Linked DNA regions of Caenorhabditis elegans. The protein of the gene in region 1 purifies or fractionates together with the protein of each later gene. This does not show direct contact. Each region holds a gene or a part of one and is shown on either strand. Other genes may lie near its edges. The genes, in order: T22F7.1, Y60A3A.25 and R193.1.

Region 1 (11,574 bases):
TGATAGAATATAGGGCAACCAAGATATCAAATTTACTTGAAATTCCTAGCGTCGATGCACCATGTTCACTAACTCCAGTTTTCGTAAGTTTTCATAAATTTTGGAAAGTGTTTATTCTTTGAATTCTGATAATAGACTAACTTTTTCATAATTCCCGACAGTTTGAGACAGTTTCACAGAATTGACCAAAAATTGACCCGAATTCGAGCGGAAGTATTAAAACCGCTGATATAATTCTTTTCTAATACTTCTGATGCGTTAAAGTTCGAGTCTAGAAGTCATCTTCTTATCAGAAGTATCTAGACTAACTAACTGAGCACATTTTGAACTAGAATAGTTTTTCCGTAAATCTACAAATGTTTTCCCTCGTAGATTGACATGATATTTCGTAAATCTTCACAAAAACTCGTAAGTCTACACACCAAAGTCACGTAACACTAAATTAAGCAATATTTTGTAAATCTACCATCTACTTTGTAAATCTACACACAAATTCCTTAAACCTGCATACTTTTTCCGTAAATCCACAACTATGTTCCCTCGTAAATCTGTATAATGCCCTCGCAGTTTCAATCAGCTTTTCTCAGTTAGTTTTTGATTTTATTCTTTGATCAAATAACAGTCAAATTTTTCAGAAGTCATCACTTGCACACGAGTTTTGTAAATGACTTTTCTTATTATTTTCCGGTAACTAAATGTGTCAATCAGTTCCTTCCGTGTCATCCTCTCCAAGTTTTTTTTTTAATTTTCTGTCGGTAGTTTGACCCCCATGTGCATACTTTGTGCATTTGATTTTCAAAGGAAATGTTTTATCAAAAACTTTTTTTTGTTTGAACTTTTCTGAAAATTGATGTCATTTTAGAGATAGGCGTCTGTGCAAATGTCGATTCTAAATTGTTTTGCAAAATTAAAAATAGTTTCAATTTCGAGAGAATGTTCTAAGTTTTCACTAAAATTAGTAGCATTCGAATCGTATTTATTCGTAAATCTACACGATTTTTTGTAAGTCTCCATCATTTTCAGTCTTAAAAATTTTCAAGCCAATGCACATTTGTACTTTAGTGACAGACCTAGTCGTATATTTACATCAAACTCCGTAAATCTACACCAATTTTTCAACATTTTTTTTGCAGAATCCTAGGCTCGAACTTATGTCAATTGTTTTTTTTTCAAAAATTACTAAAAAATTTGAATCAAACTCAATTTAAAAAATTCAAAATTCGAAAAATTTAAATTTAAAAAAAAGTTGCAAAAATTCCCAGTTCAGTTGGAAAAATAAATCTTTAAAAATTGAATTTTGTTTAGTTTTTTTCAAACAAAAAGTGCCATTATTCCGAAAATATGTAAAAAATTTGTCGCAGAAATCAGTGAAAATTTGATAAAAAATCCAGTTTTCCAATTTATCGTCGATCTAAAGCACCCCGTAAACCTACAAAAGGAAATCCACACACGTAAATCCACACTTGTAAATCTACACAAAACTCCGTGCATTTTTAAATATATTCCAAAGATCAATTTTAGTCAAATCAGATTTCCAGTAGAGGTTCCAGTGCAGCTGACGGTTCGTTCTTTCATTAATTAATCTAATAATCAAATAAACATTTTAAAAAAGTTAAAAAATAAACACCAAAGTTTCCGAAAATTTAAATTATAGCTTTAAAAATCCCTACATCACAATTATTTTTGCTCTCGTGTCGTCATTATTAGCTATTTATTTCTATCAAATACGCCCCGGGTGCACAGCTAAACCAAAAAACCAATAAAAATTGCCGAGTTTATCTAAACGAAAATCGTTTAAAAACCACTATTTGTTTTTGAATTTGAAAAAAAAAATTTGAAGTTTTTGAGAAAAATGTAACTAAAAATTTACAAAATTTATGTCGCAAATATCCGAAAATTGAAATTTTTACACTAAAATCGCAGTTTCTAGTACTTTGAATAAAGTAGGAAATCTAATGCAAATTCGAAATAAAAAAAGGCATTTTGTTCAAAAATCGCAAGATTTCTGTGGAAAAAGCATTTTCGGGCAAGTCTCAGTTTATTGTACCTTTTATGTCCGAAAATGGACCGAGACAAGAAAAAGCAATAATATGCTCCGCCCATACATTGGCTAATTTTCGCAGTATTTCTACAGAATACGAAACTTTGGTACTTTACAAAAAATTTCTTTCAATTATTTTTGAATTTTTTCGCAAAAATAATTTTTGCTATTTTAGTTGAATTATCATTTTTGGTTAGGGAAATTTATGTCAGGAAATCCCCTAAAAATTTAAAATTTAAATTTAAAAAAATTAAAGAAAAATTAATGTTTTTTTCAAAATTAACAATGTTTTTAAACTAAAAAAATTAAAGTTTCTAAAACGCAAAATCTGAGTTTTTCTACGAAATTTTGAACTTCTATAAATAAAAATTAATTTTTTTTGTTGAAAAATCTCATTATGAAACTAGGTCTTTTGGAACTTTAGTGCAATGAAACAAACTTAAAGATTGTAATCTCTCAACTCAACCTTTGATAGTTGATAATAATTTATTTACCTTCACTATACATATTTCTGCAAGCTCAAAAATTTCAATGACACAGAAAAGGGCACAATTCTATCTGAATTACGTCGAAATGTATTTTCTTGGAAGTTTTTAGGGTAATCGAGGTGAATATAAACGCCTTGTTCGCCGAAATCATCAACTTTCTTTCTCGTTTTCCCCACACGAAAATTGATATGCTGATACTTTGATTCTTCTTTTTGCATTTGGTCACTTCCCATTCAAATAGCTATGCAAATACATATATGTGTATGTTTATAGAGTCTGTAAAATTGATAATAGTTAAAAGGACAATTGATATTTTGATATTGTGTTTTGGTAGGCATTTTGTGAATTTTGCACTTTTTTGTTGGGAATTCTAGATAAAATTTGGTAAATCTGTGGTAAAAATTTTTTTGAAATTAACAACGCCAATTGCTCTCCAAATTTATTTTTTCAAAAGCTGCCTTAGCTAACGAAAATATGCTTCTTACGTACTACTTTATAAAAGTTTTCAATTTTTGTTCACTTTCATGTTTGAGAAATTGAAATTACCAAATGCTCTATGCAGTACCTCAAAAAAATACTAGAGCTATTGAAAATAAATTTTAGGCCCAATTTTTTAGGTTACACGTTTACGTTCATGTTCTAGGTTTTAAGAAAAATCAAGTGTTCTGTCAAAATTGACAATCCCATATGCTCTTTGCAATATTTCGTGAACTACCAAAGCTATTTAATAATTAACTATGTAAATACATATGCGTGTATGTTTATAAAGACTGTAAAATTGATAATAACAAAAAGGGCAATTGATATTTTGATATTGGAGATGTGTTATCATTGTGGCAAACTATTTTGTGAACCTTGAGCGTTTTTGGTTTTAGCACTTGCTGGAAAATTTTAGAAAATTTCGATGGAAGCAAAATTTAAAATATAGCTTTAAAAATCCCTACATCACAATTATTTTTGCTCTCGTGTCGTCATTATTAGCTATTTATTTCTATCAAATACGCCCCGGGTGCACAGCTAAACCAAAAAACCAATAAAAATTGCCGAGTTTATCTAAACGAAAATCGTTTAAAAACCACTATTTGTTTTTGAATTTGTGCAATTTGCCGATTTGTCGATTTGCCGGAAATTTTCATTTTCTTCAGATTTGCCGGAAATGTTTAGAGGGATTTTTATAAGACGGAAAAAAGTGTAAATGCCAAACACTTTTTGCAATTGCCGTTTTTCGTCAAGTTGGCAAATTGGTAATTTGCGGGTTTGCTGATTTTCCGGCATTTTCCGATTTGTCGGGAATTTTCTAGTCAAAATTTCCTCATCTCAATAAATTAAATTCTGCAAACTCTCTCATGTGACTCTTTTCCAACTTCCCACCTGCTGACTCTGAGAAACACCACACCTTTCATTACTTCTCACACCCCCACACAGTCGTATATATTGGCTAGAATCACTGTAAACTTGTTATCTTGGTAACGTTTTAGTACTTGTGCTAACCAATGGAATGCGGAGGACATTAATATAGATTCTTGAAAGACCTTTGACCATGTGGGTGGTGGTTTCATTATGTTTTTAGTTTGAGCTCTATCTGAACGTTACATCAATTTTAATCATTTTTTCAGTATTTCTTTTTGCGATCATTTTTTTCCATTTATTTTTTTTTCATCCTAGAAATTGGCTAAGATTTAGATTATAAGATTATTATTTATGGCTTACTAATTTTCGTTACGTCAAAATTTTTTGCCAAAATGCAGAAAATTGACCTGAGCGCGGTTTAAGAACCAACTATTTATTATAAAAATTGTGAATAAAGAAAACTTTTTTCAACCTTCCAACGAATTCAAGAGTTTTCAACATTTTACTGTAGCGCTACTGTAGGCGTAATGTTGGACTACTGTAGTTTTTGAAAAACAGTGCTTCTGTGCTGCTCATTTTACATTATCGAAAAACACGATCGCAAATTTTCCACAGAATTTATTTTTGATCTACCGTGTTGACATACAGTCACAACAAAAACAACAACGGCAAAATGATTAGGTGTTCACTTTTATAGCCACTAATATAAAAAGCGAAATAGCACAATTGAAAAAATTAAAAAAAAAACGATTGGAAGCAATTTTAATAGGCAAGAAATAAAACCGTTTGGTGGGGAAAAATGTAATTTTAATTTTTTTTTTCTTCTCTGTATGAATTGCCGCATTCTAATTGTACTTCGTATTCTTGTTTGTTCCTAGCCACGTTTCTCTTCTTTGAATGTGTACTTTGATCCTTTTTATTGCACTGATTCTACCCCTTTTGCTCTCACTTGTTGATTATGCAACTTTAAACCCCGATGATAATTTTTATAAACTCTTCATAAACTTTCAGAAATCTCCTGGAAAATTTGCATAATCGGATGAAACGGCGGTGTGTTGTGTGACAGGTCCATATGAAGGCATCAGAAGAAGAAGAGGAAGAAGTTGTGCATAGTGGAGGAGGTTATACATCACCACTAATGTCATCACTTTCTGATGCTTATGATGATGGAGAAGAGCATCAGAAGAAGAAGAAAAATTATGGATTGGTTCAAGTGGAAGAAGGTGGACAAGATGTTATTTCCAGTGTGGAGGAGCTCCTGAAAGCCACTACAGCGTGAGTTTTTTTTCCAAATTTATAGACTTTTCAACAAGGCTCAAAGCAGCGGTGCTCGAATTGCCGGTTTGCCGATTTGCCGAAATTTTCATTGTCGGCAATTTTTTGGTTTGTCAATTTTTCGAAATTTTTTTCCATTTTTTAAAAAGATATTCTCATAGAATTTGCTTTCTGTTCATAAAAATGATTTTGCCGATTTAAATTGAAATGCTGAAATTTTCAAAAAAAAATGTGTGAATTCACAAGCAAATTTTGGCAAATCGGAAACTGCCGGTTTGCCGATTTTCCGGAAAAAAATCGTTTGCCGTCCACTCCCTATTCGAAGCCCATAAAATTGCTCGAAAAACGGTCTTATTTGCACTTTTGATAATTTTAAATGGTTTCGAAAAGAAAAAAAATAATATTGAAGCATTTTTATTGACCCTCGGTGACTGTGACTGTGACAAAAACCAATGTTTAAATAATTCTAGAGCCATATTTTTAGACACAAAATTTACTTAAACGGCTTTTGAGTAGCGGAGTGCAATCAAAACCCCCTTTAAAATAATTATTTTTTTCAGATGGCGCCCGTATCCCCTGTTCATAATCTGCTCCATGTCATTCCTCTGGTCTCTATGTGCTCTCAGTGCAATTTCGCCAGCTTTCACTGCTCCGGCCGGCGATGAATGTACAGAAAACTGCTCGTTTTACACAATTCAAAACGAATTCAACCTAACCTCCAAGTTTTTTCTCGTTGAGCCCGCTGAATTGACAACTTCTATTTATTTTTTGGGAAATCTGTTGATTGGACAGCTGTTTGCAGTTGTAGCTGATAGGTGAGATTTTTCAGATTGATTTTTATTTTTAAAAATTCCTATAAAATTTCAGATTTGGCCGCCGTCCAATTATTATAATATGCCTTCTTCTTACTGGAATTGTGGGTTCTCTAGGATCTCTTGCCCCGAACTTTCCGCTACTTCTTGTCGCAAGATTTATACAAGGATCCTGTTATACGGTATGGGAATTTTTGATGTTTTTAGGTGCTCAGGCTTGTCGGGTATGCCCAGGGGTGCGCGGCAATTGCCGTTCGGCAATCAAGTTTTTGGCAATTTCGGCAATTGCCGATTTCCGCAAATTCACAAAACGGCAATTGCCGAAAGTTTCCAAAGCCGGCAACTGCCGAAATTGCCGATTGCAGAAAATTTCCAAACCCTGCAATCGCTGAATTTGCCGATTTCCGGAAAATTTCATTTTCGGCAATGCCGAAATTCCCGGTTGCCAACAATTTCCAAAACCGGCAAGTGCCCAAGATGCCGATTGCCGGAAATTTTCATTTTTGGCAGTTGCCAAAATTGCCCATGGCCGGAAATTTCCAAATACCGGCAATTTCCAAAATGGCCGATTTCGGGAAAATCTCATTTTCGGCAATGCCGAAATTGCAGATTGCAGAAAGTTTCCAAAACTGGCAATTGCCGAAATTGCCGATTGCCGGAACGTTCCTCAGTATGCCTGCCTACCACCTTCTCCTTTTTGCCTTCAACCATAAAATTTAAAAAATCGATATTTTGCAGCCCCTGACAACAGTGAACTACGTGTTAAGCGGTGAAAGTATTCCACATCGATCTCAATCATTAACATCAATATTTTTCGGAGTCTCATGGGTATGCGGTTATTGTTTTTTGGCTCCATTATCTGTATGGTTTAACACGTGGAGAAGTCTTCAATTGGCAACTGCTCTTCCCAATATTTTAGTCGCTGTGTTTCTGATGGGGTACGTTCAGCGGTGCACGGAAATCGGAAATTTCCGGTAATCGGCAATTCCGGCAATTGCCGGTTTTGTGAATTTCTGGCAATCGGCAATTTTGACAATAGCCGAAAGAAAATCGACCCAAAATTTGAAAATTGAATTCCCCGCCAAGATATTCTAAACAATCAAAGTGTCAGTGTCCTATAAAAATTGCTTTCAAATTAAAAATTTAATTTCCCGCAAATATTTTTTGAAAAATTAAAAAGTTGAATTCCTTGCCACTTTTCTGAAAATTTTTAATTACCTATAAAGTCGATGAACCTTGAAATCTTGCGCTGTAAGACCCAAATTCTTATAGTTTATTTTTTTGATATATTCATTTGGACACAAAAAAGTGGCCCCATTTTTCTAATCGAAAAAGTATGCCATTAAAGGGACGGAGCCTTAAAAATTAAAAAAAAACCGCCCATTTTCAACAATGATTAAAAAAAAATTTTTCCTGTTTTTTTTGAAAAAAAAAACTCTTAGAGTCGGTTGAAAATTCATGCCATTAAAAGGGCGGGGCTTAACGAACCAGAAAAATTTAGTTGTAAAACCGCTATTTTTCTAAAGAACAATCGTACTTTATACAACTTTTCTTAAATTTTTAAAAATGTTTTCTTTCAGAACGCTCCCGGAAAGTGTCGGCTACTCAATCGAAAAGAAAAACCGGAAAGCTGTTCAAAAATGGATCAAACGAAATGAGCTGCTCTCCTGTAAAAAGCTCAACTACGATCTCGACATGATTATGGAGAAAACTGAGAAAATTGCCACTTCATCATCGCCGACACCACAAAATCGACTGACAATATTTGAAATGATTCGTGAAATTCTGTCGGATCGGGAGATCACACGCCGAATCATCGTCGAGACTTTTCTCTGGATTCTCACTTTTATGACGTACTGTGCGCTGTCACTTACATCCACATCTGTCGGAAATTCGGATCCGCTGGTGTCGTTTTTGTTTTCGGGAGTCGTCGAGTTGCCTGCCTACCTCTTCATACCGATATGCTTGACGAGGTTAGTTGTTTTGCCGTGGGGCGCACTTGCAGAGTCACGCAAGTTTTTTTGGGGGAAATTCCGATACCCTAGTGTTTATACTTTTCTGAGAACGCAAAAAATTCGAATTTTTCAAGTTGCTAAATTGACCGAATGACTTCACCATTAATATTTTCGTGGCGGGACCCGATATTTCGTTTTGGAAAATATAAAATTTAGAACCCCATTGTAACTATACTTTTCTGAAAGCGCAAGAGGCGCAGAACTGACCGAATGACGTCACAGTTGATACTTTCGTGGTGAGACTCTAAATTTTAAAATTTCACCAGACGTTGCGTTGCCTGAGTTGTGAAATATCTGGCAACTTGTCATGATTATATTTTTTTCTGAAAGCGCCGACAATTTGCAATTAAAAATGTATACATTTTCCGAATTGCTTACAAATTGACTGCATGACGTCACCGTGAATATTTTCGTGGTGAGACCCAAAATTTTCGAGCCTATTTGTGTCTATAGTTTTCTGAAAACACAGAGTATGCGGATTTTGATAATGTGAGAATTTTATGAAAAGTGACTAAACACGTCACTTTTTGTGGGTTTTATGGTAGGCAGGAACTTTTTTCTCTGCCTGCCTACCTGCCTATTTTTGTATTATTGTAGTGAAATTTAGTTATTCGATTAATCTGTTGGAAGTTTAGTGTGTATTTGGCTGTCGGTCTCCTTGAAGGCAGGCAAGGTAGGAGTAGGTCGCTTTGAAGGCAGGCAAGCTAGGAGTAGGCCGCCTTGAAGGCAGGCAAGGTAGGAGTAGGTCGCCTTGAAGGCAGGCAAGGTAGGAGTAGGTCGCCTTGCAGACATGCAAGGCAGGAGTAGGTAACCTCGAAGGCAGGTAATAGAAAAAACTTTCGTATCTACGTGTAAACTTGCAGAACAAAACGTCGCCCAACCCGTTTTCTGTGCCATTTTACTGGCTCAATGGCCCTTCTCACAATGTATTTCTTGTCAAACGACACATCGCTACACCTCATCATTTGGCTCGTTGCCAAGTTTTGCGCCTCATGCTGTTACATTTTCTGCTTCATCTACGCTGCCGAGCTGTTTCCGACGTGGTGCCGGTCGTGCTGTATTGGGGTTTGCTCGACATGCTGCAATATTGGAGCAATTGTGGCGCCGCACATTTTTCTGATTGATTCGGCGGCTCCTGGAGCACAGTTTTTGGTGCTAGCAGCAGTGGGATTGTTGTGCTCTGGGCTTACGTGGTGCCAGCAGGAGACCAAGGTTTAGGGCTTTAATTAATATTATTTGAATTTTTTTATGATCACCCAGTGACAAAAAAAGAAAAAAAAACGAGTTTTCAGACGTGTATTTGTGTTTTTTTGTAATATTTTGTAATATTTTGTTTTGTGATAAAAATCCCCAGTTTTGAATAAATTAAATTATTTTTTTCTCCCAATTTTTCTGAAATTTGGAGTGATTATTCTACGTAGGCAGAGTAATGCCTACCCGCCTACCTTCAAGGATCTAGCGGAATGACCAAAATAGGCGGTAGGCAAGGTAGGTGCCTGCCTACCCTAAAGCTATTTTTCTAAGCTTTTTGACCTAGAAAATTCTCCGAATCCCAAAGAGCTCTGAATGAGCTTATGACTAAATATTTCGGCGTCATGAGAAACTGAAGTTCGGTTTTCTCCGTCAGAAGCTGAATTAAAAATAATTTTTGTGTGCAGTATAAGTTCAAACAAAAATAGCAGGAAGTTCGACATTTAACTTTTGATCGTTTTTTTACTTTGGCGCAATTTTAAATAATTTAATTTAACAATTTTTTAACTGAATTGCCAAATTTTAGCTAGAAATTGAATGTTTAATTATCTGAACAAATTGGCTGGAAACTCAAAATTTTATCTTCTACCCATTAAATCGACATACTGAAATTTTGCACTGCGAGCAATTTTGAGCAGAGCCCTACTAATACCCAAGTTTTAGTAGGCTCTAACATTCCAAAGTTCTCGAAATCCTAAGCCCGACGATCTTTTGTACTACCTGCAAATATGTATATTCCTTTTATTATTCTTTTCTTCTTGGTAGTTTTCCGGTTAATCGGTGTAGAGGGAAGGCAAGAGGTGTGGAGGGATAGTAAAATACTGAAGATTTGCCCATTTTTCTCCGACTTTAGCCGCCCTTGCCTTTCCGCTTTTGTTAGTTGAAAACGGTGAATTAGTCCTTTTTTCGTCTTGTGTTGCCTGGGTCTTGTCTTTTTTGATTTTCTGAAAAGTAGTATATGTAGGATTAAATAAATCCAGAAATGCGCTACTTTTCGGCAATTGCTGAAATTGACGATTGCAGGAAATTTCGAAAACCGGCAATTGCTGGAATTGCCGGTTGTCGGAAATCAAAATTGCCTGAAATATAAACTTGATAACCGAGAAAGTTACATTAAAACTGTAGAATTCATCAATACGTTCTATAGCGCGGCAATGACCGGTTGCCAAAAATTTCCAAACTGGCAACTACCGAAATTGCCGATTCCTTAAAATTTCCAAAACCGGCAATTGTCGAAATTGCCCGAAATTTCCGATTGCCGTGCACCCCTGAATAAATCCTTTATTACTTTTAAAAAATAATTTTTGAATAATTTAGTCTCATTTCTAGGCTTTTCCATACTTGCCCTATACCTAAAGGCAAGTGTGGAAAGTTAAGGCAAATTAGGTGGTAGGCAGGCGTTGACCTGGAAAACTGAAAGTTATTCATTTCAATCTAGATTAGGCAATAACTGAACCTATGGTCATTTTGCAATGTTGCCTGTCATCTCTGCAACGATGAGATTGCAATCGAAAAATGCGTAAAGATCTGTAATCTCGGTTGATATATTAGCATTATGATAATATAAGCATGTTATATAAGATTTTATGAATTGAGTCATCATTGCTTTTCAATTTAAAGGAACAAGTTTCCAAGTTAAATTGACGGTTTTTATACTTTTGGAGCCTATATTTCGGTACCCGTGAATTTCCACCAATAGTGGATTTTAGAAAATTGTTTAAGAAATGTTGTTCTCGTCTTTTACCGGAGTGTCTTTTTTTGGTTTGATCTACATAGATCTACAAAAAATGCGGGGAAAGAAACGCAGAGTTCTCAACTGATTTTGCATGGTTAAGAACGTGTGCTGACGTCACATTGTTTTTGGGCCAAAAAATTCCCGCATTTTTTGTAGATCAAACCGTAATGGCATAGCCTGACACCACGTGAATGGCACAAAAATCTGTTGAACCGTGTGAAAGCCTCAATTTCTCATGCAACCCTTTCGTTCCACCTAAATTGCCTGAAAAGCTGTAAAAATTTGGGGCGAAAATCAGTAGGTGATATTATATCAAAATCAATTTCTAATTAAAACTGACATGCATATTGGCTTCATCTCCTTTTGTCGGCAGATAAATATACATTCTCAAGTAGACACACCGCCCGTATTCACATATATCTTTTCACTTTTGATCTCTTCTTGTTCTTCATCCCTCAGGCTTCTGGCATCTCAAGTGATCGAGAATTCGGAATTCAAAGGTTTTTCAAGAGGCTGTAGAAGGAATGAATAATATGCAAATTGTTTTCTTTTACCTCTCCGTCTCTCATTTTCCCGTACTATTTTGGGTGTGTTGACCGTTCGGATA
Region 2 (10,722 bases), on another chromosome or scaffold:
GAGCGTCTTGGGCCATTTGTCAAACGTCCATTTAGCTAAAATTAATGTTTTTAGAGAAAAAATTGTCTAAAAAAATACATTTTTTGTTGTTTGAAAATTGATGTTTTTTTCTTTTTTCTATATTAAAAATTCCAGTAGAGTAAATTATTTTATTTCAGTTTTCGGCTTTCTCTTATTAGCTTTATCTTTCAAAAAAATGATATAAAATTTATTTTATAAATTATATTAAAAAAAGAGGCAATTGTAAATTTGTTTCTCTTAGAATTCTCAATAAAATTCCAAAAACATACCTGTCGAGGACTTGCAGCTGGGAGAGTTGCCCGACGATTTTGTGTGCTCCCGCGTTGCTGATGAAAATTAACATTTTTTAGAAAAAAATATCAAAAAAAAGACGCAAATTTGAGATGATTGTTTGATAATTAAGATGACGTAGCAAAATCTGGGAAATATTTTCAAATGACTCTAAATTTGCCCCTGATTTTGGCAAAATGTATAAAAAGTACCTGGATGACATACAGTCCCTCCACTTTGCTCTGTGTACCTCTGCCTTTCTATGTGTCAATGCCTTGCCGGTGGGTGGCAGAGCAAAGCGGAAAGGCTGTAGATCACTATGTGCCAAGTTACAAGTTACTAAAAGCTAACCAAGATTTTCATGCATTCGGCAATTAAAATATTTTCCGAGAAGCAAAATATCAGAAAGTGATCCATTGAGAATTTGTAGATCACAGTAAAATCTATAATATTTTATTGAAATCACACTTTTAAATTTTGATATGGGTGTACGTAGCACAAATCTTATAGATTTTGTTGTGTTTTTCAGTTTTTCAGTACATCATTTTTTGATATTTTTGCTTCTCGGCGGTATCTAGAGACATGAGTGCTAACTAACCTGTTCCTCCGCAAGTATCCTCGCTTCAGCCTGCGCGGCTTTCCAGTTGGCCAGATTCCTTATATTGGATTGTTTTTGTCGCGTGGGGCGACCCATTACTCTGAAAATAATCTAATTAAAATTAGGAAATGTTTCATTTTGAATTTTTATGTGTATTGTTTTATTTCTCAGGAAACATAACACCCGTCTTCCTTCCGTCTGAAACTTGCCCAAAATGGTATGATTTCTATCGTCCCGGAGAAGTGATTTTCGCAAAAAACGCTCTCGCCGCGGCCGACATTTTTTGGGTTTCGCTTAGGGGGCGCGGGTAGTCGCAAGGTAGGCGCGGCAGGCGTTTTACCGCCTGCATGAAAACATACACGTCGCTAAGATACCTTAATTTTGACTTACCTTTGAATATAGTAAAAAATCTTTCGAAATGATTGAAAAATCGATTTTTTTACAAAAAATGATGGGAATATTGATAAGAAGTTTCACATCACGTTAAATTAATTAACTTTTCAATAATTTTTATTTCTCGTTTATTTTAATTTCTCAATTAATTTTTAATTTTCAAATGAGAACGTAAATACAATAAATTGTATGAAAAAACGGCATAGAAACTATAAATTCTTCAATCTCAATTTTTCGAATTTTTTTACAAAACCCGAGGAAACAGCAGATTTCGATTTTCCCTGTTTTTATTAAAAACTATTATCAACTGCCAATGTTCACACCATACAGTGAAATGGTGGTTCCTGCGCCGCGGCCGACACTTTTCGGGTTCCGCGCCGCTCCATACAAAGGCGCAAATCGCGGTGCAAGGTAGGCGCGACAGGCGTTGAGGCATAAGGTTCTGGCCTTCCTTATTGCAATTTTCGCGCTCCATTGACAATCGCCTGCAGGACAACGCGTGGTAAGGTTGCGTACTCCACACGGACAAGTATATTCAGTTTTAAGACTAAAAGCGAGCCGCGGCGCGACACGCAACGCGCCTAAATCTACCTTCAAGCCAAAATGGCATAGTTCGCCAAACTCTTGCATTTCAGTTAATGAAGGGAGCCAGAATCGCGAGTTTTGGAGCCTGTATGGAAGTATGAACCCAAGAAATAGATAGAATATGTTTAACTCACATTTGATACTAGTTTACAACTGCAATCTATAGTGCTAATAAATTTCGAAATAATTGAAAAATCGATTTTTCACAAAAAATGATGGGAATCTTGATAAGAAGTTCCACATTGTAAGTCACGTTAAATAAATTATTTTTTTTCGTTTATTTTAATCTCTAGTTTAATTTTCAATTTTACATACAATTTAATTATCACGTGCCGAATTTTTTTTAAATGTAGAAACCATAAATATGTTTCTAGTTAGATTTTTTTGGATTTTTACGGGAAAAACCCGAAAAAGTATAGCGGAAAATCTATAAATTATTCAATCTTAGGCTCTTTAGCCGGGCAAACTGCAGATTTTTCCTGTCCTGGCAATCATACTGACATTTTCCAGTTGAAAAATGTTCCCTTCTAAATACAAAAAAATCTGAAAAAATTGTGATTACTCTGACAACTGTACAACAAAATTTATTCACGAATAACGCATTATGTTCGACTAGTTCCGGAAGCTCCGGAACCTTAAAGTACACGTAACTCTTCAGAACCGAATTTGATTTCTTTCAAAATGGCATACCTAAAGTTTTCGACAGCTGAATAATCATACTTCCGTCGTCGATTGCAATTTCAACTTTCTGGATTCTAATTCTTTTCTTCATTCTATATACCTGACAAATGTATAAAATTGATTTCACTGAACCCCACTGGTTGATCTACACCTATCATACCATTGGTGGCGTTTCGTTGTGCATCAATTTGTTCGGTATTTACCTACTAACCTTTGAGTTGAAAGAGCTTGGCGCTTTTCGATACTATTTAATGCTATTTCAGGTAAATACAGCTTAAATTGTTAGCTAGAAGAGTTCAAACCATCATCATTACTATAAGTAACAAATATTTTAAGTCTTCGACGTCATTAATGGGCGGAGCCTAGTTACGTCACACAAAGGGCGGAGCTTGGAATATTCTTTGACTTCATGGGAGGGGTCATACAAGCTCCGCCCATTTTGTAGGCGGGACTTGATAAACTGCGTCTTTTTTTCGCTGCAAGATCATGGCGGAGAATTCAAATTTTCAGAGATACAATTTTTTGGCGGGCGGAAAATTCAAATTTTCTGGGAAAAACATTTTGGCGGGAAATTTAAATTTTGCGAGAAATTTTTTTTGGCGGGAAATTTAATTTTTCTGAAAAAAATTTTAGCCGGAAATTCAAATTTTCTAAAAAAAAATTTTTTTTTGCGGGAAATTCAAATTTTCTGGGAAAAACATTTTGGCTGGAAATTCAAATTTTCTGGGAAAAACATTTTTGCGGGAAATTCAAATTTTGTGAAAAAAATTTTTTTGGCGGGAAATTTAAATTTTTAGAGAAAATTTTTTTGGCGGGCGGAACATTCAAATTTCCTGAGAAAAATTTGGCCGGAAATTCAAATTTTCTGGGAAAAACATTTTGGCGGGAAATTTAAATTTTGCGAGAAATTTTTTTTGGCGGGAAATTTAATTTTTCTGAAAAAAATTTTAGCCGGAAATTCAAATTTTCTAAAAAAAAATTTTTTTTTGCGGGAAATTCAAATTTTCTGGGAAAAACATTTTGGCTGGAAATTCAAATTTTGTGAAAAAAATTTTTTTGGCGGGAAATTTAAATTTTTAGAGAAAATTTTTTTGGCGGGCGGAAAATTCAAACTTTCTGAAAAAAAATTTTGGCAGGAAATTCAAATTTTAAGAGAAAATAATTTTGGCGGGAAATTTAATTTTTCTGAAAAAAAAATCATGGCGGGAAATTTAAATTTTGAGAGAAAATTTTTTTGGCGGGAAATTCAAATTTTGAGAGAAAATTTTGGCGGGAAATTCAAATTTTGCGAGAAATTTTTTTTTGGCGGAAAATTCAAATTTTCTGGGAAAAAATTTTTGGCGGGAAATTTCAATTCTCTGAAAAAAACATTTGGCGGGAAATTCAAATTTTTTGCAAAACAATTTTGGCGGGAAATTCAAATTTTCTGAAAAACAATTTTGGCGGAAATTCAAATTTTCTTAGAAAATAATTTTGGCGGGAAATTCAAATTTTCTGAAAAAAAATTTGGCGGGAAATTCAAATTTTCTGAAAAAAAATTTGGCGGGAAATTCAAATTTTGCGAGAATTTTTTTTTGGCGGGAAATTCAAATTTTCTGAGAAAGGGCTTATTTCTTCATGACCCTCATTATTCCAGGTCGTTTGTTCACTAGCTGACATCACTATTACCACTCTTTCATCAATTGTTCCATTATACCCATTGTTCGCAATTTCCTCATATGGCATTCTAGCTCTTTGGCTGGATGTTTCTGCACATTACTGTTTGATAAATGTTGGAGTATGGGCATATCTGGAAATGGAGTCCCTACTTTTGTGTTTCTTCAAGAAACATCAAACAATTGCGGTGATAATTGATGTTCATGTTATTCCAAAGTTTATCCCATACTTTTGCTATTTAATGGCTATTGTGTTCCCAGCTATACCATGTGTCGGATTAGATTTTTTGACTGTTCAGGAGGAAAAGCAGTTGGAATATATCAATATGGTAAGTTATTGAGTTTTTTTTCTAAAATAATATAATACAAACAAAATTTTGTTCAGACTTCCCCAGAATATTATACAAAATTCGCAAGCCTACCTAACTTCTCAATGTATAAAGAATCCAACTATCTGTATGGTGTAATTATTATAACATTCATCGAAGTTTCAGTTCTCATCGCCCTGTTGGTATTTTTCAACATGGACCTTGTCCGCATGATGGTTCGATTGAAATCTCAAATCTCTGCTGTAAACTACCAGAGGCACCGGGAAGCAATTCAAAGTCTGGTTATTCAGACGTTCGTCTCAGTTATATGCTCGGCGCCAACATCGTGTTTTGCTCTCGCCTTGGCTCTTAGATTGGAGCACTCACAATTGATAGCTGAACTGATGTTAGTTGTGTTCTCATGTCATTCATCTACTAATATTATATCGTTGCTCATATTCTCACCGCCGTATCGCAGGTTTTTGGAGAAAAGCTTTAAGAGGTAAGGTCCTGAAATTTTTTTTATTTGTTTGGCTGTGATAGCCATCAAAATTGATTGCATTTTAAACTAATACATACTAGTTTTATACAAATTATGCTAATTGGGATAAAATTTCAGAAATCGCCGACAAATTTCCGTACATGTGCATTCACAGAGCGGATAAATTCTTTAAATTTTTCTTTATAACTAAAGTTTGAAAAAAATGTTAACATTGATTTAAAATTTTTCTCGATGATTTTCATTTGATATGACAGAATTAAATATGTATGCTCTGAAAATTAAACGACGTTTATTTTTTTTATTTTTTCTTTCTGAAATTTTATACCCAAAGTTTTCGACAGCTGAAAAATTACACGGCTTCCAGCTGTTATGCCAACTTGAATACATATTTTTTTAAATTCATTTCATATAACCAACACATGTATAATATTGATTTCACTGAACCTCACGGGTATCTACAACCAGACAAATCCGACCAACAACCTTACTCCGGGTATATTCGTGAAATGCATTTTACTGACCAGAATGCTATAACCAAATGTCTAATTTAAATAAACATACAATAGATCTATATATATACATATATGAAACAAATTAGTTTGCAGTGATGATGCTGATGTACAAAAAGAAAAAGGCGAGTATCATGAAAGTTTGAGTTTAAGAGAAGATATGTTGTGGATGGTGAACAGGACAAATTTTTTCGATTTTCCGATTTATCGTTTTTTTTTCGATTTCTGAAGTTTTGAAAATCGAAAAATCGAAAAATAATCATAAAATATGAATTTTTATCTAATTTTGTTTATATTGATAAGAAAAAACATTAAAATTTCTTCTAAGAAGAAGAATAATGACCAAATTATTAAGCTAATTTTTGAAAATTTGAAAAATCTTTTGAAAAATCGGAAAAGGTGAGAGGATTATCAATACATTTGATGCTTATCGTGTAACCAGAAATGTTGCCAATTCCTTCAACTGTTCAATATCAGGTCCTGCGTTATCACATAAAAACTGCCAATTGTGTTGTAACAGATTTCGAGCATCCGGATAAAACCAACCACCGTATGCAGTCAGACGCGACGCAATTCGATATTGTTTTGAAAACTCCTGAAAAAAAAGCGTGTTAGAAAAAACACTTTTTTTTTTTGGTTTAAATGCCAGAAAATCGACCATGATAACCGAATATAGCTGTTAAAAAAATTTAATTTTTTAAAATTTTATGATTTTTCAAAATTTTTCAAAAAAAAAAACAGCTCTATTAAAGTTAAGTTCCGCGCAAATGAGTGACGTCATTTTTGAGATTTTCGCGTTTTCCAGCTCAATTTGTCGAACTTTTGTACAGTTATATTCGGTTATCAGGGTCTATTTTCTGTCAGCTTTAAAATATTTTCAGAAACCTGTTTTAAAATCCACATGATTAAATTTAACCTAATGGAGACAATTTGAGTTTATCTGATTAATTAAGAAGAAACCCTAAACCGTTACATTTTCCATTGAAATGAAATTGCCAATTTATCAATAAATTCACTTACATATTGCAGTTCACCTGCTCCGTGTTCAAAAGCCACCGTCTCATATTTCTGTTTTGCTCGAAAACAACCGCTTGCTAAAGTACCTGGGGGAATTCCAACCTGAAAATCTAAATAATGCAAATGTTTTCATAGATTTCTCATCTACTCACCTTTTTGTTGTCAAGATCAGCCTGAGCATCGTCATATACTTTTTCAGTTTCATCCATTCTTGTTTTCAGCTTCGCCAGATTCATATCACGTCTCTTCAAGTTATCCTTTTCAGTGATGATATCTGCTTTATCACGTTCAAAATCTGCTAGGCACCGAAAAACTTGCTCTGAACTACAATTGGTGTAGTAAACTTTGATGATGCGAAGATTTGAGAAGCAGGGACGAAGGACAAGCTTGACCGCTGTTCGGAAATGTGCTTCATTCAAGATATTCTGGTTTAGAAGGTTTTCATGGGTGAGCTTCTGTGATTTGAAAAACGTTTCGTTCTCATCCCGGATACGTTTCTTCTTGTCGTAAGAATTCTGTGCATCTTCTCTGTTTCTTTTTCGTTTTCTTGAAACCTGAAACGTTTTAAATAGTATTGTAGTACGTAAAAAGTTATATGGACATGGAAGGAACTCCAATCACAATTTAATCTCCCTGAGGTATAAAATGCGAGTTAAAACTTACCATTGAATCAGTTTCACTCTTGATTTCACTATCAAATGAGATCTGTGAAATCGCGTCGTCCTCGGTAAAATTGTCTGTAAAGTTAGGGTTTTTTGGAAACCAGATTTTAAATGTTAATTCTTACCATTGAAATTGTCGTCATTGTTCCATGGTATAGCTGGCAGCACTGGCGCTTCAAAGACTTGCCCCGGACCAGTTTCCATATTCCATAAGTTCAGGTCATTTGCATTTGGGTCGTTGTTGTCGGGTTGTTGGAATTGGTTGTCTGAATAACGAGAACATACACGAGTAGCCAGGGCAATAGTAGCGTACCGTTATTCAAATCCACCCAGCCCGACTCATTATTGTCCTGATACTCTTGATATGGTTGCATGTCCATTGTTTGAAAATTTTGATGTATTCTGTCCAGATTGTGCCAAGTTTGTGAATTGTCAAGAGCATTGTCAGGATTCTGAAAAAATGTGTATTGAGGGATTAGGGTTAACACGTTTTGTTAGATCTTGAACAAGAATTGTTCAAACTTTCGCAGTTAAATGCCTAAAGTTCCCAATACATATCAAACGTCGTAAGTAGGTCTTCCACGAGGACGCTACTCCCGCCCGCCCGCACCACACCACAGCTTCGTAGACATCATGCAAAAATTTGAATGTTCGCCACAATTTTTCAAAACAAATTTGAATTCCCGCCAAAATTTTTCACCGAAAATTTGAATTTCCGCCAAAATTTTTCTCAGAAAATTTGAATTTCCGCCAAAATTTTTCTCGGAAAATTTGAATTCCCGCCAAAGTTTTTCAAAGAAAATTTGAATTCCCAGAAAAAATTTTTCACAGAAAATTTGAATTTCCGCCAAAATGATTCTCTTACAATTTGACCTCCCGCCAATTTGTTTCACAAAAAATTTGATTTCCCGCCACAAATTTTCACACAAAAATTTAAATTTCCGCCACAATTTTTCTCAGAAAATTTGAATTTCCGCCAAAATTTTTCTCGGAAAATTTGAATTCCCGCCAAAATTTTTCAAAGAAAATTTGAATTTCCGCCAAACATTTTCCTAGAAAATTTTATTTTCCGCTAAATTGTTTCACAAAAAATTTGATTTCCCGCCACAAATTTTCACACAAAAATTTAAATTTCCGCCACAATTTTTCTCAGAAAATTTGAATTTCCGCCAAAATTATTTTCGAAGAAAATTCGAATTTCCCGAAAAAAGTTTTTTCAGAAATTTTTTTTTTTTAATTTAAATTCCCGCCAAAATTTTTCACAGAAAATTCGAATTCCCGCCAAAACTTGTGGGTCAACTCTTGGTGAAGTTGGGTGTGACGTCACAGACTAAAAAGACTACATATACTACAAGCTCCGGACAGACTAACTGTTTTTTATCTATAAAGATAATAAGTTCACGAACCTGCTGCGCAAACTGGTGATCATGATGATCCTCGTTTAAATTCTGATTGAAGTAGTTCCCAACCGAATTGTTCTGTGGATTATCTCCAACAATTTGGTTCTGGGCTGTGGCTTCTGATGTTGTTTTCTTTCCAAACCAACTTTCAAGACTGGGTAATTTATGTGAAGATCCTTCTTTGTTATTTCGTTGGGCATTTCCAGATGTGCCAGCATCAATGAATCGGTGAGACGTGCTCGGAAACATTTGACAGTGCTGAAATTCTTAAATGGAGAGCTCTATTATTGGAAGTTGGTGGAGATAAAGAAAAAGTAATAATTATCAACAGACTTCTTTGATAAGCTTGAATTTCACAAACATATGTTCCAGTTTTAAAATTCAAAACCTCAAATATAATTTTTTTTTTGGATGAATACCATCAAAAAGTTCAAAAAGTAGCGCCAGCTCATAATATGTAGAACACTCAAAAAATTTTTTGAAAAATACGAGCTTTTGGGAAAATTTAAAGGAACATCGCATGTTTCGACCCCTACAATGTTTTAATACAAACAATTTGAACAAAATTAAAACATAAAAAATGTCGAAGAAAATTTTTTTTTGGTCGACTTCCAAAATCATGAGTGGCAAAAACTGAGTAATTGCCACTTTTTGACAGTAAATAAAAATTTTCAAAATTTTTTTGAAAAGTTTTATCATGATATTTGGTCATTTTGGGATCAAAGGAGTGGTTTTTTGACGATTTCCCCACTGGCGCTACTCCACCTTTAGCATAATATTTAAGGAGAAAACACAATATTTTGTATGAAGCAAAAATATATGAACATGACATCGCAATTAAAAAAAGGAGGAAAAAAACCAAACTCAAAAGAGAAACTTAGAGAGAAAAGACAGGCGACAACTATTGACATCTGAGAAAAGAGAGAGTGCTGATAAGAGAACAAATGGAAATGTTGCAGCAAAATAGACCCTTTTGGCCAAATATGACCATAAAAAATTGATAACATTTTTTTTAATTTTGCATAATTTAAAGAATGGGCCAAATTATTTTTGAATTACCTCGCAAATGAGTGACGTCACTTTTGACATATTTTCGTTTTCCGGCTTATAATTTGAAACACAGTTTGTCAATTTTTGAGGCATCATTCCGTTGAGAACACTTGGCAATGGGAAATAAATTTAACGAAACTCTGAATTTGGGCCAAAAATCGACTATTCAAAATTAATTTCAACTATTTTTAATGCAAAAAAAATCTGAAAATGTAACAAATTATTTTTCATTAATATACACCAAAAAAATGTCGAAAATGACGTCACTCATTTGCACGGGAATTTAAAAATATTTTTTTTTCAAAATTAAAAAATCATAATAATGTAGATACATTTTATAGAAAATAGCCAGCGGAAAAATTGATAGGGAAAGTAATAAATGAGTTAAAAAGAGGAGAAAATGGCAACAGATGCGATGACAATGATGAAAATTGATAAAAATTGTTTTCCGTGTTTCTGACAAAAATATAATTTTTTTTTTGGTAACCACCACTCAATTCAAAAAAGTTTGTACTTAACATAACATATAAGGAGAAAGCACAATATTCTGTACCAGCCGTGGACCGCACCTCCTGTAAATAACAATGTAAATAAAGACGACTATTGTAGCTTCCATATTGGTTCTTATTAACCAAAAGCGCAGAACATTCAAAGTCTAAAAAAAAGTTGGGTACTTGTGTATTACATGCCCTCATTTTAGTAGTAATTTTTTAAGTTATGCGAAATAAAAACGTGAACCACACTTTTGCATTTTTAGGCTTAGGAATTACCAATTTCTAAGCCTAAAAAGAGAAAATGTATATCACGTTTAATTCAAATGGAGAAATTAATGAACATTAAATTTAATTTAAAAATCAGGGCATGTAATACACAAGTACCATAAGTTGTGTTAATTATCGCTTGTAATACAATACTAATTTTTCGATCATTTCTCTGAGTTGAGGGTACTACTTTTTACCTGAAATAAATCCTTTTTTTTTGGAAACATATGTTAAAAAACTGTGACAACTGTACAACAAAATTTATTCACGAATGATGCATTATGTTCGACTAGTTCCGGAACGGGATTTA
Region 3 (8,215 bases), on another chromosome or scaffold:
GATATAGAATTAAAATGTAAATCATTAATTTTTTAGTCGACTCAGTCAAGAGCGAGTCACGGCAACTCGGTCCAAAACCATTTCTAATTAGTAAACTCTCAAAAACCACAACTAATTAGCTTAAAATCATTGCTACTTAGCAAAAATAAGCTAATTTACAATGGTTTTAAGCTATTTAGTTGTGGTTTTTGAGAGTTTACTAATTAGAAATGGTTTTGGACCGAGTTGCCGTGACTCGCTCTTGACTGAGGAACTCGAGACCTTATATTTCAACAAAAAAAATTTGCAGGAATTGAGAATTTTTTTCTTTAGTTTTTGGCGGAAACTCAAACTCATTTTTTCTAAAGAATTCTGGTGAAAATTTGAAATTCATTTTTTGGCAAGTAACAATTGGTGGGAATTTATTTCTTTTCAATTTTTCAATTAATTTTTCATTGGAGATCAAAATCATATTTCCAAAAATAATTGGCGGGAGTTCAAAATTAATTTTTCAAATATTCTAGTAAGAATTCAAACTATAATTTTCATAAAAACTTTTTTGGCGGGAATACAATTTAAATTTTTAAAAAAATTGGTGTGCGTTCAAATTTTGAACATTTTGGCGAAACTGTTTGGAATTCAGAATATTTTTAAATAAGGAGTTTCAGCAGGAATTCAAATTCAAATTTTTCAAAAAAAAATCTTGCATACAGCTTGAGTTTTTTTGGATTCTCAAAATCTGAACCAACCTTTCTTTCTTTTCAAAATCTTTTCAAAAGTTATCAGTAAACAATTAGGTGTTTGATGACTTACTAGTTTCCGCTTCTGTTACAAAAAGTGAAATTGGATATCAAAAAGTGGAACCTGTGAAGTGCAATTCAGGTACTAACTATGTAGAAGATTTTTCAGATTTTTAGAATTTTTTCAGTTGAAAAAAAAAACTCTAAAAACTCCAGACAAAAACCAACACAAAATGAAAGTTGCAGCCTCTAATGTTTGATTTTTAATCTCACACTCACCCATCCTGGAAAACGATGTTGATGAGGCAGTCGGTGTCGCCAAATTTCCCGATTCAGAAGGCGTCGGGAAATTGGAATTACCCCCAACCATCACTCGCAAAGAAATGAGCAACCTTTTTGCGAGGCGTGCGCATAAACACCAAGACACCGGAAGTGCGGGTGCACAAGTTTCGACCCTTAAGTCGGCCACATTCGACACGTACTTGTACAGAGGACGTGTGCTCGAATGGTTTTTAAAAATTGTGAGACTCGAAATGTTACTAAAGTTAAACATTTGACCCCCCCCCCCTTAGAAACCTCGAAGAAACTTCTGGAGACAAAATTGTTGACACTTGTTCAGAATCTATTTAAAGGTGAAGTAGCGACTGTGGGGAAGCTGTAATAAACTATATATATGGTCCCAAATTGGACAACTAATATATTTCAACTTTTCAAAAAAAAAAACATTGAAAATATCTCATTGGCAGTCAAAAAGTGGCAATTATTCAGTTAATCGTTTGCTCTAGAAATGCCAAAAAATCGGAAATTGCTACTTATAAACTGTCAATAATGATACGATTCAAAAAGGTGCCTTGAAAAGTTATATTACAATATTTGGTGAGTTTAACACTATATGAATGGGTTTTTATCATTTCCCCACTGGCCGTTAACACCGGTTGTCAATTTCTTTTTTCCGTTAAGAGAAAATTATATCCCGAAAGAGATTTGCTGAAACTTGAAAAAAAAGGCCTAAAAGTCGTAATTTCATGTGAACGTATAATTATTTTACAAAAAAAATCTGCGAAATAGACAATCGGTGTTTCACATAGATTATCACAAAAGTTACGGAAAAAAACCCAAGTGGCCAAAAACATTTTGGACCATTTTCTATCCACCTTTAAATTAGAAAATTTTCAAAAAATTCTCAGGTGTATTGCTCATGGTGCACCGAACAATATGTGTTTTTTTTTAGGTTTATTGAACCATTTTTTACAGGTACTCATTGGCCGGTATTCCATTCGCCGTCGAATTTTCAGACAGATTCTCTCCTAATTTGATTTTGCAAAAAAATAAGTTGCGCGAAATTCAAATTTATATTTTTTCAAATAGCCCGAAATCCTGATATTCAGTTATTCAAAAAACGTATGTTGCGAAACTAAAATTTTCTATTCACAATCCACAGTATTCAGTTTCTTTGGCGAATCGTTGCGAGACCCGTAACGAACATAATTTCCAAATTTACAATTGTATCAAAAAATTAGGCCCCAAAGGAGCCTTGCAGAACAAAAAAGAAATACATGCAACTTTTCTACAGTAATTTATTTGTCATTTGATATTGTATACTTTTGATTTCGTGCCTTCGAGCCAAACTTGTTTGTCACATTACATAAGAAGAATATGTTCTCCCGCAGTCTTTCATATCAAATTCAGAAAACCAAGTCCGTTATCAATCGAAATCACACCTCGTCTCTGCAAAAAAAAATAGCTGAATATTTATGACCGAAAAAAAAAACAAACTCACGAGATCCCTTTTTATCTGCGAAACCGTCTCCTTAGGGCCGTCAAAAATGTCCAGACCACTCAGAGAAATCAAGGTAGATCATGCTTTCATAATCGTCTTTTTTCATCGGACGCTCTCCTTTTGCCACATCAATTGAACTGAAAGCTTCTTGATGCAGAAAATGGTGGAATGTATTTGGCAAGGGGTGAACAGTGGCAGTATCAAATGCTCCGATTTTAACGCGTGTCAACTGCAACAAAAATGACTGTGAAACTATACTGAACTTGGGTGAACAAACATTTGTATCAAAAAACAAAGACGATGGTGCCAAGTTGTTATGCGTAACGCCCAGTTGATGAATATGATGAAGACCTTTGAGCATAACGCACCCGATGGCCAGACGTTACCGGAGCTAAGCTTCTTGACGTTATACTCCTCCATATAAGTTTCCATCGAGAGCATTTCATCAGAAACTGAAAATGGAATATTATTTGGAAAGAAGTGACATCGAAAATCGTACCAATCACGTAGTAATCTCCAAATGAGAAGCGTTCATTGAACTGTGTACAATGACGGAAGCCGGTCAGAAGTTGTCCGCATAGAACCTTCTTCTCTGCAGCTACACGGGAAATTTCGTTGTTCGTCGGATACAGTTGAAGAGAGAATGCGCCACCGCCGTCGACTTTTTCCGACACTGTCTCTACACCGAATTTTCCAAGATACACCTTATCGCAGATAAAATAGTCTCTAACAACATCGCCGGTCTTGATGACCGATCTGAAATAAAAAATTCAGTTTCGGTTCATCCATGAATTGTTTCATGGATCAAGAACACCTGGTTCCACAAGTCATTCTCACATGACTGCAAAAAATTACGAACATTGGAGATCCGATGGATGGCAGTTTTGGAGCACAGAGAGCAGACGTGTTGTAGAGCATAGATGGTAAGGGATGACAACGGCAGAAGCAACAACCAGAAGTTTGAATGACAAGGATAAGTGATTTGAATACGGATTTCTTCGGTTTATATATGCAAAAATTTGAACTTTATCTTTGTTTCTGATCTGTTTGTCCTTGTTTTTCTGTTTTTTGAAACAAGTTTTTGTTTTTCGAAACAATTTTTTTGTTTTTTGAGACAGTTTTTTGTATGTTTTTTTGGCATCCACAATTGTTTCTGAATCTTGAGAAATAGGCATAATCAGGCCCGTAAATGTTGAATTTCCAGTTGTCTAGTCAATATATAGGTCAAAAAATTGAATTTTTATACGTCCATACAAAGGTCTAAAACTTGAGGGGTAGGCACAATCAGGCATGCAAAATTTATATTTTAGGTTTTCACATCTAAATATAGGTCACAGAAAAAACTTTTTTGTACGCCCATACAGTGTTCTGAAACTTAAGGAGTATACATACTCCGGCACGTAAAATTTTATTTTTATGTCATCACGTCGAAATGTAGGTCACAGAAAAAACTTTTTTGTACGTAAATTCAAAGGTCTGAAACTTGAGGGGTAGGTACAATCAGACATCGTAAAATTTATTTTTTAGGTTTTCACGTCAAAATATAGGTCACAGAAAAAAAAATTTTGTACGTTAAGCTACAGTTCTGAAACTTGAGGGGTAGGTACAATCAGGCATGCGAAATTTATTTTTTTGGCTTTCACGTCAAAATATAGGTCAGCAAAAAAAATGTTTCATACGTGAAGCTACAGTTCTGAAACTTAAGGGTTGTACACAATAAGACACGTGAAAATTAATTTAAAGGTTTTCACGTCAATATACAGGTCACAAAAACCTGTTTCACACGTCCATACTAGGGCTGTCATCTTTGTGAAAGCCAAGAAACAGTATTTTGCTTTATAGTTTTAAAACCGCTGATAGTATCAAAATGAAGTTAATTCTATATGGACGTAGAAAAAAAGTTTTTCTGTGACCTATATTTTGACGTGAAAACCTAAAAAAATAAATTTTACGTGTCTGATTGTACCTACTCCTCAAGTTTCAAAACTGTAGCTTAACGTACAAAAAAGTTTTTTCTGTGATCTATATTTTGACGTGAAAACCTAAAAAACAAATTTTACGTGTCGGATTGTACCTATTCCTCAAGTTTCAGACCTCTGTATTCACGTACAAAAAAGTTTTTTCTGTGATCTATATTTTGACGTGAAAACCTAAAAAATAAATTTTGCATGAGTGATTATACCTACCCCTCAAGTTTCGGACCTTTGTATGGACGTATAAAAAATTCAATTTTTTGACCTATATATTGACTTGAAAGCTCGAAATTTAACATTTACGGGTCTGACTATGCCTCCTCCTCAAGTTGCAGAAACAACTGTGGATGCCGAAAAAACATTCAAAAACAGTCTCAAAAAATAAAAACATGTTTCAAAAAACAAAAACCTGTTTAAAAAAACGAAAATCTGTTTCGAAAAAATTGTTTCGAAAAACAAAAACCTGTTTCAAAAAACAGAAAAACAAGGACAAACAGATCAGAAACAAAGATAAAGTTCAAATTTGTGCATATAAAAGTCGGAGAAATTGGTATTCAAATCACTTATCGTTTTCAAGCGATTATTCAACTTCTGATTGTGCTCATCACATTTTTACTGCTCATCGTAATGTACATGAATCGTGCTCCATGTGGTCCTCGCCTGCCAACTCCAGCTTCTCTTGGGTTTGAATTTTCGAGCCTTAGATCCATGAAACAATCGGTGTAATCAATATCATTCTTTTATCATTGATAGACTGATTGGTTTTTGGATTTAACGCCATCTCCTTGCTGAATTTTTCATTACAGCTTGGTGATTTCTGTCGGTAAAATAATAAATGGACATCGAATTGTGGAAAAAGTCGAACGCGGTCGTTTCGGGATCCAGGCCGTGTCAGAGAAACTGCACACTGGCGAACAATATTCATTTTGTGCTTTTCCGGTTGGAAACGAGTTGGCAAACTCTGCTTTCGAAAAGAATATTTTTTGTTCTCAGCTGCTCATTGGAAACAAGAACACGACTATGATGACCGATCACATTGTGGCTGGAAATCTTAGTGTTATCAGTATGAGTTTCGAGCTTCCTTCTCTCCAAATAACACCTTATTTCAGTCAGCAAGGATGAAATGTTCTCAATGCAATCATACTTCGACGAATACAATGTTCGAAAGTTGAGTTACCTGAACACCTGGCGGATCGGTTGTACTATGTTGAAAGAACTGGAGTAGATCCACACATTTGGAATAGTACACACCAACATCTCTCCTGCTTCACTTTTCTTCGATTCCTCTGTATGTTTACCCAAATATTATCATTGTTTAGTAATCATTCTTGTTTCAGCTCGACAGTGTGAAAATTGGTGCCTTCGACACCGCGCTCGTATCCGACTTCAATCTGCAGAATCCGTTCAATCCACACTTGCATGCTGAAGCTTACGCATCAATCAAAGTGGCACAGGGATCAGTCCAACAAAATGGGACGATTACAAGAGTTTTATTTACACTCTTATCACCATGAGTGGACTTGATTGCTTTGAAGGGCCACAGAATGTTGTGTTGAGCAACAAAATGAAGCTCGTGAGTTTGTTATTTTTTTACTCTTGAAAAATCAACTATCGTTTTCAGAGAAGAAGTGATATGAAAATTGATGTGAATTATGGATATATTCGTGAAGCGTGGTCACAAATTGAGAAATGTGCTACCCCCGCTGGAATATTCGATCAACTCGTCAAAGAGTATCCCCATGTTGATTGGTTCTCGAGTTTCGATATGAAAGATTGCGGGGAGAACGTGTTGCTCGAGTAATCCATTGAACTTTTTTCTAAGAGATCTCCATGTGATAGAAAAACAATGAATATTAACAGAATGCATTTGTCCCCCTGATTTTGCAGAGTTTCCTAATGATGGAGACTAAACGAAACTTGGAGCACAATTTCAGTACCTTGAGATCTGTACTTCAATATGATAAGGTTTTCAGTAGACGTCCATCGAAAAGTCTCGCACCTTGATTTCAGAACTCGAAGAAACAAAAAGTTAGAAAAAAGTTGTCAACTGAAAATGTTAAGGTTCGAATCGGCATGAAATCCACAACTTTTTGAAAATCTAGAAATATACCAAAACTTTCAATGAATTTTTGGTGTTTTAGGCTTGATGTGTTTTTTTGTATTTCTACTACAAATATAAGTGTTTTCAGATTTTTAGAAAAAAAAATTGCTTGTTCGTTTGAAATAGAACATTTTGAAACTCAATCTGGAAATATATATTTGGTAGAGCTTGCTCAACCTCGTGGATCTATCAGAAGTGACCTAAGAACTTTGCCCAGTTGGGTTTCGGGGGTTTTGTGTTCATGAAGAAGCATTGCATGTTTAAAATTAAAAAAAATTTTTTTTTTTTAAATCAAATTCATTATGAAAATTTTAATTCCCATCTCTGCAATCACCAACTTGTGCATTTGATTGAACATAGGTTTCCTGAAAATGAACTCCAATTCGACTAGATTCAGATTTTCAGTTCAAACTCACCAAAAAAATGATGTTGCTGACGAGGTACCATTACTAGTTCTGGCATTGAATTGCATGACCTGAACATGGAAAAAAATTGAAGAATTAAAAATTGGGAAGGGGGAATTTTGGGCGAAATCTGTAGAAAATCGGCCATAATAACCGGATACAATTGTTAAAATTTTTACTTATTTTGTTAATATTAGAATCATATTCCCAGTTTGCAAAAAGATTTCAAATAATAAATTCTGACACGGGAATTCTTTTCGAATAAGTTTTAAAAACTTAAGTCTAAAATTTTGATAAACCAAAAATTGGGTGGGGCCCTCTATTGAATTGTTTGACGGGGTTTTCTGTTTTTCTTAAGATTTCTTTTTGCAGTATAGAAGAATATGAACAAAAATTTATCCCACGCTATCAAATTAAGATCTCAAATCAAGAATTACCACTTTCTGGCTCCACTCAATATTAGAATTGCACATTTTTCGCAATATCGGTGGAGAGCTGTAAATAGTACAGTTTTTGAATATTTTTGATGATATATTAAAATTTAATACATAATACATAAGTACTTGTCTCTGTTATAATTTTAAATTTCTGGAAACTACTGAGATTTTGCTACTATTTTTGGAAAGAACTAGAAATTTGCAACAGATTAGCAGAAGAGTCAAATTGCGTGGAAGAAATTAGAACATTTTAAATAATTTCAATAGCACTTTATTATGTTAATCTATTTAATAATTCAAAATTTTGATAATTCCCTCAGCAGTTCTTTTAATTCTAGGAATGTTCATTGGTAGATCAAAAGTGAAGATAATGATCTTGCTCAATGGCGGCTGCGCGCAAAGTCTAATTTGCCAACACACAGTTGTTAACAGCAAGGAGGGCATTGAATATCGATCGTTCACTATACGCATTTTTCTTTATTGTGTATTATTTTCAAAACATTTTGGTTTAAAAAAATATAATATTTTTTCAAAAGAATCGGACTATTTCCGTAACTAATCAGAACTTGAAAATAAATTTCAAGGAGTAAGAAGAATGATTCTGATGATCTGAAATTTTAGCAGAAATGTCGTGCTTATTTTAAATGTTTGTTTTATCGAATTATCAATAACATACTACTTTTTCAGTTTTATACAAAATTGGAGCTCCAGGGACTCATGGACTCATAGATTTATGGTCATTGAATTGCATCAACAAAAAAGAGATACATTGATATTTTTTAATTTTGAGTTAGTTTTAGA

Evidence for each region.
Region 2: the proteins of T22F7.1 (region 1) and Y60A3A.25 fractionate together in Caenorhabditis elegans (co-fractionation; one large-scale study listed by BioGRID). This does not show direct contact.
Region 3: the proteins of T22F7.1 (region 1) and R193.1 fractionate together in Caenorhabditis elegans (co-fractionation; one large-scale study listed by BioGRID). This does not show direct contact.

Annotation. Positions count from the first base shown.
Region 1 is NC_003281.10:537,176-548,749, forward strand, and holds T22F7.1 (Major facilitator superfamily (MFS) profile domain-containing protein), read left to right. Parts: upstream 1-4,890; 5' UTR 4,891-4,951; coding exon 4,952-5,154; intron 5,155-5,714; coding exon 5,715-5,969; intron 5,970-6,021; coding exon 6,022-6,148; intron 6,149-6,704; coding exon 6,705-6,904; intron 6,905-7,546; coding exon 7,547-7,939; intron 7,940-8,844; coding exon 8,845-9,199; 3' UTR 9,200-9,362; downstream 9,363-11,574.
Region 2 is NC_003283.11:19,985,329-19,996,050, forward strand, and holds Y60A3A.25 (BZIP domain-containing protein), read right to left. Parts: upstream 8,866-10,722; 5' UTR 8,851-8,865; coding exon 8,608-8,850; intron 7,654-8,607; coding exon 7,515-7,653; intron 7,468-7,514; coding exon 7,327-7,467; intron 7,277-7,326; coding exon 7,203-7,276; intron 7,094-7,202; coding exon 6,692-7,093; intron 6,642-6,691; coding exon 6,543-6,641; intron 6,118-6,542; coding exon 5,950-6,117; 3' UTR 5,405-5,949; downstream 1-5,404. Other genes in the region: clec-260 (C-type lectin domain-containing protein), read right to left, coding at 1-35, 291-347, 890-985; sri-67 (G protein-coupled receptor), read left to right, coding at 2,656-2,811, 4,185-4,532, 4,589-5,013, 5,131-5,176.
Region 3 is NC_003284.9:1,150,150-1,158,364, reverse strand, and holds R193.1 (uncharacterized protein), read right to left. Parts: upstream 3,418-8,215; coding exon 3,359-3,417; intron 3,256-3,358; coding exon 2,999-3,255; intron 2,952-2,998; coding exon 2,777-2,951; intron 2,729-2,776; coding exon 2,725-2,728; downstream 1-2,724. Other genes in the region: R193.6 (uncharacterized protein), read right to left, coding at 6,860-6,938, 6,990-7,048, 7,415-7,450.